Callithrix jacchus: one gene and its partners. The protein of the gene in region 3 binds, or shares a complex with, the protein of the main gene of each other region. Links are inferred from orthologs where the notes say so. Each region holds a gene or a part of one and is shown on either strand. Other genes may lie near its edges. The genes, in order: PXT1, BNIP5 and BAK1.

Region 1 (3,652 bases), about 2.9 Mb from region 3:
TATTTCCCTCTTGCTTTTTTTTTTTTTTTTTTTTGAAACAGAGTCTCACTCTGTCGCCCACACTGTGGCACAATCTCGACTCACTGCAACCTCTGCCTCCCGGGTTTAAGTGATTCTCCTGCCTCAGCCTCCCAAATAGCTGGAATTACAGGTGTGTGCCACCATGCCTGGCTAGTTTTTGTGTTTTTCAGTAGAGACGAGGTTTCACTATATTGGTTAAGCTTGTCTCGAACTCTTGACCTCAAGTGATCCACCCGCCTCGGTCTCCCAAAGTGCCGGGATTACAGGTGTGAGCCACCGCACCTGGCACCTTCTTGCTTTTATAGCATTATTGTTGAGATCTCCCATTCATATTTTGTCTTGGGGATGTTTTATTTGAGGGCAAGGCTGTGTGTTGTCCACATTTGGACCTGAGTATAAAAGAGGACACGGCACTCCCTGTGGCATGCATGATGGAGGGCAGCATGATGGAAGCTTCACCAAGAAAGCTTCACAGGATAGTTGAATCTAAGGGCAAAAAGTTGGGCTCTGAGGGGCTGCCATCCCGTCTGTCACAGAGCCCATGTGATCATTCTCTACTGCCAAATACAGGTTGCTCTGGAGAAAAAAATAAGTTAGCTATGGATTTCATCACCCCAAACAGTAATCATTAGTCTTTCCTATTTTCCCCTATTATCTCTTATAATAATCAGGAGAAACTAAGAAACCGGCAGGGGTAGGGCCGGCCTCCTTCCCTTCGGGCTGATTCAGGGAGGATAACCAAAGTCCAAGGCACAGGTTCTCCTCTCTGACTGTGCATTAGATTCACTGAGGCAGTTTTTAAAATGCCAGGTGCCCCAGCCTTACCTTGGGCCAATTAAATCAGAATTTCTCCAGGTTGGGCCCAGGCATCTGTCATTCCTAAAACTCAACAGGTGATTCCAGTTGCACCCTATTTTGAGGGTGTGGAGCAGTTTCTCACACTTCAGTGTGCACACAAATTCCCTGGGGAATGCATAAAAAGGTAGATTCTGGGCTGGGTGTGGTGGCTCATGCCTGTAATCCCAGCACTTTGGGAGGACAAGGCAGGTGGATCACGAGGTCTGAAGATCAAGACCATCCTGGCTAACACTGTGAAACCTCATCTCTACTAAAAATACAAAAAATTAGCCAGGCGTGGTGGCACTCGCCTGTAGTCCCAGCTATTTGGGAGGCTGAGGCAGGAGAATCACTTGAACCTGGAGGCAGAGGTTGCAGTGAGCCAAGATCATGCCATTGTGCTCCAGCCTGGGAAACAAGAGCGAAAGGTAGATTCTGATTCTGACTGGGTGGGCTGGGGTCTCAGACATTGCACATCTAACCAAGTGATGTTGATGCTGCCAGTCCACAGACCACAATCTGAGCAGCAAGTATGAGATTCAATGCCAGCTTTGAATTCAGGTTCACAATGTTTAGATCGAATATTTGGTAATCCAGACAGTATTAATCCATGAATTTCGATAATTTCTGGGTGTCTCAGATACTTGGCAGCCATAGTTTTGTTTACTCTTTCCTCCAACCTGACAGGCCCTGGCTGGGGAAAGTGGAGCCTCACCTCTGGAACCATCCTATGATCAATGCTGTCTCCAATGTGTCTCAGCTGCATGGCCAACTTGTGAATTATTTCCTCCTGGTGATGCTTCTGACCAATGCTATGCTCCTTGGGCTGAGAAGGTAGCTTATGATCTGCATTGATAGAAGAGTTCAAAAGAGATAATATCACTTAATTATCTGTAAAATCACTTACCACTAGTTACTAAAAACTGTCTTAGAAAATGAGAGGGTTGGCTGGGTGCAGTAGCTCACGGCTGTAATCCCAGCACTTTGGGAGGCCGAGGCGGGTGGATCACTTGAGATCAAGAGTTCAATACCAGCCTGGTCAACACAGCAAAATCCTGTTTCTACTAAAAATACAAAAAATTAGCTGGACGTAGTGACAGGCACCTGTAATCCCAGCTACTTGGGAGGCTAAGGCAGGAGAATTGCTTGAACCCGGGCAGCAGAGGTTGCAGAAAGCTGAGATAGCGCCATTGCACTCAGTCTGGGTGACAAGAGCAAAATCATTCTCAAAAAAAAAAATGAGACGGTTGAAATTCAGTCATTATAATAATTATCAAAAAGCAAAGCCTAACTGTTGGAATACATCAGCTCTCTCCAATAGAAATATAATTCAAGCCATATGTAATTTTAAATTTTCCAGTAGTAAAATCAGGTAAAATTAATTTTAGCAATTTATTTTACCTAAATCAATTTACTCAAAATATTATAACATTTATCAATATAAAATTATTAATGACGTATTTTACATTTTAAAATTATACCTAAGTCTTTGAAATTCAGTGTTTTTTTTTTGTACTTATAAAACGCCTTAATTTAGAGCCTAACTTTTCACTGGAAAATCTTGATCTATACTTGGATTTCATGAAGTTGACAGTTTAAAAAGTAGATTCAGGCCAGATGCCATGGCTCACATCTATAATCCCCAAACTTTGGGAGGCCAAAGTGGGAGGATCACTTGAGCCCAGGAGTTTCAGACCAGCCAGGGCAACATAGTGAGACATTGTCTCCAGGAAAAATTTAAAAATTAGCTATGCATAGTAGCTCACACCTGTAGTCCCACCTACAAAACTGAGGCTGACATGGGAGAATTGCTTGAGCCCAGGAGGCAGAGGCTGGAGTGAGCTATGATCACACCACTACACTCCAGCCTGAGCAACAGAGCAAGAGCCTGTCTCAAATAAAAAAAAATAGATTCACATATCCAGGTCATTTCAAACATACTTAAAAGGGCTCCAACAATTAAATCAAGTATCAGTTTTAAAATGTAAATTAATTGAAATTAACCAAAACTTAAAATTCAGTTCCTCAATTGCACCAGCCACATTTCAAGTGCTCATAACCAAATGTGGTTAGTAGCTATTGTATTGGACAAGCAGTAATAGATCTTTAGTTTTTCAAAATAGATTTTTCCACTATATATATATATATAATATATATATAAAATATATATTACAGTTGTATGTGTGTGTGTGTCTATATATATATATTTATATATATATATATAAAGGAAAAATCTATTTTGAATAACTATATATATATATATATTTTTTTTTTTTTAAATAGACACAGGGTCTTGCTTTGTTGCCTAGGCTGATCTTGGTCTTAACTCCTGGGTTCAAGCAATCCTCACACTTCAATCTTCCAAAGTGCTGGGATTACAGGAATGAGCCACTATGCCCAGCCCCCTTTAATATTTTTACCCACTCTCCTTGATGAGCCCTCCAAACTTTATTTGCTTCTAGCAACCAATGAGCGTTTTTAAGCAACACTGTAGGTTAACACTTGTTGGGTGCCTTGGGGAGGGCCTAAAACATACAGACAAGGTTTCTGCCCTTTAGTCACTTAGAACGAACGCATGGGTTACAGATGATACAATTCCCAAGTGCTTTAGGACTACAGAAGAGAAGGAAATAAATTTGGGCTAAAGTAGATGTAAGTATGGTTTCATAGAGAAAGCAAGAGTTGTGCTGGATCTGTTTCATTTCAATAAAATTGGAGGACCTTTGATTTCAGGCCTGTCCTCAAAGAGTCCAATGGGAGAGAGACACAAACTATGATTCAACATGTTAGAGTA
Region 2 (3,652 bases), about 2.8 Mb from region 3:
TAGAGACGGGGTTTCACCATGTTGGTCAGGATGGTCTCAATATCTTGACCTCGTGATCTGCCTGCCTCAACCTCCCAAAGTGCTGGGATTACAGGCATGAGCCACCATGCCCGGCCCTTGTTTGCTTTTCATAGAAAATGTGCCTTAAAGGGGAATTCTGCCTGAACAGGGGGAAGGTGCAAGGTGAGGGCACTTGTAGGGAACAGGCCTTTCCAGATGGCCCTGAGGGGACTCCTCCCGGGTTTCAATTTGGAGGCCCTCTTTGGGAAAGTGAACATGTGTCCCATGAAACCAGCTCTGCCCTCAGGCCACCTCTGGCAGCTCTTTAGCCCCCTGGAGAATCACCCAGGGAGCCAGCTGGGCATAAGGAAATGAAGACTGACCTTAGAAGAGCTTTTCTAGCACTGAAGTGTAACCATGCATGCTGATCTTTTTCAGGAGAATTCATTCAGAAGATCATTTCCATGCTCCAAGATGCAGAAGAACAGCGAGGAGAGGAGGTGAGGAAGATGCTCCCCACATAGCCCTGACCTCACTGTGGGCTCCCCAACCCTGCCTGGGAAACAACTTCCTGCCCCTCCTGCACTTCTGTGTCCTGCCAAAGCCCTGCTCCAGTCCCTCCTGGTTTTTTTGGAGATGGAGTCTCACTCTGTTGCCCAGGCTAAAGCACAGTGGCTCGATCATGGCTCACTGCAACCTCTACCTCCTGGGCTCCAGCGATTCTCCAGCCTCAGCCTCCCAAGTAGCTGGGACTACAGGTGTGTGCCACCACACCTGGCTAATTTTTGCATTTTTAGTAGAGACAGGGTTTCACCAGCTTGGTCAGGCTGGTCTGGAACTCCTGACTGCTGGTGGTCCACCCACCTCGGCCTCTCAAAGTGCCGGGATCATAGGCATGAGCCACTGCACTCAGCCCCAGTCTCTCCGTCTTGAAGCTTCTCCAGCCCCCTCCAGACCACACACATTTCCCCCTCACTGAGCATCAGCCACCTTTCTCTGGGCAATACCTGCTAGCCCACCATGAGTTTCTTTCCCCAGCTCACCTGAGATCTCCTCAAGGTCAGGGGCCCTGACTCAGTTTCTCTCATCTCCCCCACAGCAACCTCAAGTCCAGGAGGAAGAGGTGTGTATAGAAAACCTGGCTCCACTCAGCAGAAGGAAATCTCAAGAAAAAAAGTTGAGCTTCAGGAGAGCATTTTACCATAAGAAACACAGCTCCAAAGAACCCAAGAGAGCAGGGGCAGCAGGGGCCACCAGCCCAGAGACCCGACGGCCCAAGAGGCCCAGCTTTCTGCCCCTGTGTGTTGGTGGGCATCGGCCCTCCACCTCCAGCAGCCTTGGTGAGCAGGCCTGGTGTTGCCATGGTAACAGAGCCTTCCTCTCAGACAGGGCTGCTGTGGGGCCTATCCGTTGCCAACAGTCTGGCTTAGTGGGGGATGTCCAGCCCTAACTGTTGCTTTCCATGCTGAGCAGAGTCGGGGGTGTGGAAGTGTGGGGAGAGGTGAGGGGCCAGGTGCCAGCAGGCCCCCACCCCTAGCAGCCCCTGCTCACAGCGCACGCCCTCCCCACACCCCGCCACACACAAACACTTAACAACAGCCGTGGTGGGAGAGCCGTGCAGCTGTGCATCAGAATCGCCTGGCCAGTTACATAGAAAAGCACAGAGACCTGGGTTTGATGAAGTAGGGTATGGCCTGGGCCTTTTTTTTTACTACACCAAAGCGCGAGGCCACTGGTGTACCGTGATTCCCCTGACATCACAGAGCACCTGCTGCATGCTACTTTCACACGTATCATCTCATTTAACCTGCTCGAAACCCTGTGAGGTCAGTCTTATCACTCCCACTTAACAGATGGAGAAAGAGAGGCTCAGACAGGCTGAGTGACCCAGAAAGCCTGGCAGAGTGAAAGGGTTTGTTTGGTGGACCTGTCGGCACACCTGTTTTAACTGCACCCCTCCCAGACTGTGAGGAGGAGGAAATGGTTGGTGGGGGAAGGAGGAATTAGGTTTCTGGAGAAGGCCAAGAGAGCACCACGAACTCCTCTGAGGCAGAGCCGGGGGCGGGAAACTCACGGAGGAGCCTGGAAACCAGCCCTGGCTTATGCCTGTGCCTCTGAACAGCTTCTTGTCGGGAACTGGATTAGCTCTCTGTGAAACACTCACCAACTCTTTTTTTGCCCTAGATCCAGAAGATCTCGAGTGCCAGGAGCCCTCACCTGCAGAAGGCGAGCCTGTTGTGGTCCCAGAAGCACCCTTCCAGGCCAGAGGCCACACATCAGAAGGGGCATCTCAGCTGAGTGGAGTGTGTGAATCTAGTCAGTATCACCCCTGCTCTTACCCGGACAGCTTCCCAGCGCTTCTCCTCCATGTGGAGTTCACAGGCAGTATTGGGGAGGGTTCTGAGAAAGGAATGGGGAAGGCAGCAGGCAAAGACCCCAGGAGACTTTAGGATGGGGTAGGGGGCACAGACTTGGCCTTTTAACTGGGGCGGTTGGGGCAGTTGCAGGTAGAGGACACCTGTCTGTTCCGTGGGATGTAATTAACACCTGCCGTTAGTTTGCTTGAATGTTTCTTGTGAAATTCCTAGCTTGCTCCAGGTCTCATAAGCAGTGGTGTGCTGGCAGACCACTGGGAGAGGTGATGCCCTGTTTTGTAGCCTTTGCAGATTTCCATGGCATAAATATTTTTTACCTCCGCTGATTTCAAGCTGCCAACAGTTTATAACAACTAGTCCACAAATTAATTAGCTGGGCACGGTGGTGGGAACCTGTAATCCCAGCTACTTGGGAGGCTGAGGCAGGAGAATCACTTGAACCCGGGAGGTGGAGGTTGCAGTGAGCAGAGATTGCGCCCACTGCACTCCAGCCTGGATGACAAAGTGAGACTCTGTCTAAAACAAAACAAAATGAGTCTACAAATTTCCTGAATAGTTACAGTGAACTTAGTATGAGCAGGCCCTGGCGTACCACTGCTTAGAACCGAGGTGAATGGGTGCATTCCCAATGGGTCTGTAGCCCTGGCATGTCTCCTCCCTGTATTCTGATGCGCTGCCTCTAGTCCAAACTCCCATTCTCGACTGGGCTACTCTGTAGCCTGGTTAAGGGACACTGGGAGGCCTTAGTTTCCCACCTATCAAATAGAGCCGAATGTGGTTACAGGTGAGGCCCAGCAAGCCAGAGTCCCTTCTATTTCTATAAAGGGAACCCAAGCAAAGCTCTCACGCTCCAGCTCTAGTTTAAGGCAAGAATTTTCTTGATCCATCATAACTAATGTGCGTGCGGAGTTTTAGAGAGAATACTGTCTTTCACAGGTGGATGTGTTGTTGCAGCGCTTTGTTTTTGGAAGGGAACTGGGCATCACCCAGTCAGTAACTCAATCCTTTCTTTTCCTTAGAGGAGCTCATCATCCTGAAGCTGGTGGCGCTTCTCCAAGAAGTGGATGGTCAACTGGGGCAGCAGGTGAGCACCACTCAGCCTTCCCCAGGCCAGCCCCAGGGCCTCATCTACCCACAGCTGAGACCTGGGTTCCATCCCTAAGTCTGCACCTCTGGGCAATTTTGAGAATACCCCTTAACCTCTCTGAGCCTCAGTTTCAAAATGAGAGATAATTACCGACTCGACCAAGCTTAGTGCATATGTAGAAAATGCCAGA
Region 3 (2,558 bases):
GATTTTGGAACATTTCAACGCCCCCATGCTTGTTATTTTTATCACCCCTGGCTGCGTCCCCATAGGGACTCCCAAGCAGCATAAAACTAGAATGAAAGCCCTGCGTGCGTGCTGACTGTGGAGACAACAGGAAGGGGGAGCTGGGACATTGCGTCCCAGGCAGAGCTAAGTGTGGGGGAGAAAGGCCTTTTGGACCAGCGTGGGTGATAGCCCCAGGGTGGGAGAGGAATTCAGGCCAGGCCTGAGGTGGCCTGTGGGGGTCCTCAGATAAGTGCAGCTGCTCCACCAGCTCTGTAGCTATGATCCAGCAGTTCAAACGTCCTAAAGGGTGGGAAATTGCATGAAACCCACAGAGATGAGGGAAGTGCATGAGGAGGGGTGAAGGCCTTCCAGCGGCTGGGGGCTGCAGGACCATAGTCAGACCTCCATGGGATTCTGGAAGCCTAGTGTGAGGATTTAGTCAGTAATATCAGGCACCCCCAGTCTAGCCTGATGGAAAGAGGGGGAGCAGAGAATACAAAAACTACTAAGTCGGGGTGAGGGGATTGCACAGTTTATTTCCAAACGCTCAGAGGATAGGGAGTGGCTTCGGGCTCCAGCTGCCTCTCCCTGCATTTGGCTGAATCAAGAACTTCTCTCCCCTCCCCCAACACCCTAGGCAATGCCCAATAGAGAAGGGACTCTCACCCCCCCCCCAAGAGAGACCTAGACAGGTGAGGAGCATGGAGGGTGGGGGGACAGAGTTCAAGTATTCACATTTCCCCCATCAACACCCCGGAGTACACCGTGCCAGAGCCATGAGGTGGGGATCCCACTGCTGGGATTCCTAGTGGTGTCGATAGTCCTTCTCCCACTTAGAACCCTCCAGATGAACTCCCTACACCTTTTCCCTGAAATAACAAACCAAGTCCTAAGCCCTGTAGTCTGGGCAAGGAGGGGCCTTAGAATGCCACTCACCCAAGGTCCCCAGGGTGAGGGCCTTCACCTGTAGTGAATGGGTTGGGAGCAAGTGTCTAAAAGGAGAGAGGAAGGGAGAGAACTGAGAGGACCTAGGGAGGCAGGCTTGGAGGTTTCTGACACGTAAGTTCAGACAGCTCTCGTCTGCGAATCCACCCCACCCCATTCCCCAAGCCCAGAATCCCTGAGAGTCCAACTGCAAAGGCAGTATGGCTGGAGGGAGGAATGGGAGCAGGCAGAGCGCTGGGCAGGACCTCCGCCCCTGTCTCCCAGTCAGTCCTGCTCCTGGAACACATGATGCTTTGGGAGGGCCAGGACCAGGATCAAGTCCCAGCTCTTAGGCGCTCCAGCATAGCTGAATCCTGGGGAACAGAGGGTAGACCCACCAACCCCCAAACCCCAGCCGTCCTGGCCTCGGGTAGAATGGTGGGAATGGGCTCTCTAAAGGGTATTATAAAAAGCTAGAACCGTTAAACGCTTCCTGGGGAGAAGTGGCTCCCAGTCTCTTGCCTCCCCAAGTTATCAGTCTCCCTAGTGCCTAGCAGACAGGGCTAAGGAGGTCTCAGAGAGCCGAGGGAGGAGGCCACAGCCCCTGGGCCCAGAGAGAGGGCCCACTAGCACCATGCAATGTTGAGGCACCTTTGCAGCCTGACTGGCCCCCACACAGGGGCCCTCCAAAGCTGGAGTGCACCCTTGCTAAAGCTTCTGTACTCTTGAGGGGGGACCCCTGAAGGGAGTGGAGGAGGCAAAGACTTGGCTTAAGTCCAGGCTGGGGTCTCAGCAGGGACCCCAAAGGGCACCCTTGGGAGTCATGATTTGAAGAATCTTCGTACCACAAACTGGCCCAACAGAACCACACCCAGAACGACCAGCACATTCAGGATGGGTCCATTGCCCAGGTCCAGGGCTGCCACCTGCCGGGAGAAACACGGTGGTCACAGAGAGTCAGGCAGAAGATACAGGCACCTGGGGAGGGGCGGGGCCTGGGAGAGGAGCAGCCCCAACAGCAGGGAGGACGTTGCAATCCTCAGATACTCACCCAGCCACCCCTCTGTGCGATCCACCGGGCGATGCAGTGATGCAGCATGAAGTCCACCACGAAGCGGGTCACCTGGCCCAGGAAGCCAGTCAGGCCGCGCTGGTAGACGTGTAGGGCCAGACGGTAGCCAAAGCCCAGGAGAGCCACCACACGGCCCCAGTTGATGCCACTCTCAAACAGGCTGCGGGCAGAGCATTGCATACCATTGGTGGAGAGGCCCCAGGAGGCCCGTCAGCCTGCCTGCCCTCTCCCTTCCCTCTCCCAGCTGGAAAGCTAAATTTGCTGTGAATTAAGGCTGCAGAGGCTGCCCCAGCCTGGCCTGTATTTGGGAATAACCTGGGTCTCTGTGAAAGGAGAAAGCTGAGGGGTATGAGCTGGATGCCACTGCTGGGATGTACACTCAGGTGCAAAGGGGCACAGACAGGGTAGAGGGCAGAGCGAGTGGAGGGGTCAGCGGGGAGATTACCTGTGGGTGTTGTGCTGGCCTGGCAGCCCAAGGGACAGCAGAGAGAAAAGGACAGAAAAGATTAGAGTAGTTCCTGTCATCACAGTGGCATGGGGG

What was found.
Region 1: the proteins of BAK1 (region 3) and PXT1 are in contact, whole or in part, in a crystal structure (PDB 8GSV), measured with the Homo sapiens proteins. The link is inferred for Callithrix jacchus from reciprocal best matches to the Homo sapiens genes BAK1 and PXT1. Residues at the interface, in NP_001179.1 of Homo sapiens: Ile81, Gly82, Asp84, Ile85, Asn86, Arg88, Tyr89, Glu92, Phe93, Met96, Leu97, His99, Leu100, Tyr110, Lys113, Ile114, Ser117, Leu118, Glu120, Ser121, Asn124, Trp125, Gly126, Arg127, Val129, Ala130, Phe134, Asn182; in NP_694535.2 of Homo sapiens: Ile78, Ile79, His80, Lys81, Leu82, Ala83, Met84, Gln85, Leu86, Arg87, His88, Ile89, Gly90, Asp91, Asn92, Ile93, Asp94, Arg96, Met97.
Region 2: the proteins of BAK1 (region 3) and BNIP5 are in contact, whole or in part, in a crystal structure (PDB 8IGC), measured with the Homo sapiens proteins. The link is inferred for Callithrix jacchus from reciprocal best matches to the Homo sapiens genes BAK1 and BNIP5. Residues at the interface, in NP_001179.1 of Homo sapiens: Leu78, Ile81, Gly82, Ile85, Tyr89, Glu92, Phe93, Met96, His99, Leu100, Tyr110, Lys113, Ile114, Ser117, Leu118, Ser121, Asn124, Trp125, Gly126, Arg127, Val129, Ala130, Phe134, Ala180, Leu183; in NP_001010903.3 of Homo sapiens: Ile246, Ile247, Gln248, Met249, Ile250, Val251, Leu253, Leu254, Lys255, Arg256, Val257, Gly258, Asp259, Gln260, Trp261, Glu262, Glu264, Gln265, Ser266.

Annotation. Positions count from the first base shown.
Region 1 is NC_133505.1:44,720,430-44,724,081, forward strand, and holds part of PXT1 (peroxisomal testis-specific protein 1), read right to left. Parts: intron 1,705-3,652; coding exon 1,574-1,704; intron 1-1,573.
Region 2 is NC_133505.1:44,631,134-44,634,785, reverse strand, and holds part of BNIP5 (protein BNIP5), read left to right. Parts: intron 1-438; coding exon 439-500; intron 501-1,099; coding exon 1,100-1,340; intron 1,341-2,184; coding exon 2,185-2,316; intron 2,317-3,394; coding exon 3,395-3,459; intron 3,460-3,652.
Region 3 is NC_133505.1:41,823,854-41,826,411, forward strand, and holds the end of BAK1 (bcl-2 homologous antagonist/killer), read right to left. Parts: intron 2,178-2,558; coding exon 1,997-2,177; intron 1,873-1,996; exon of another isoform or gene 1,872-1,872; coding exon 1,767-1,871; 3' UTR 538-1,766; downstream 1-537. UniProt on the Homo sapiens protein: Plays a role in the mitochondrial apoptotic process. Upon arrival of cell death signals, promotes mitochondrial outer membrane (MOM) permeabilization by oligomerizing to form pores within the MOM.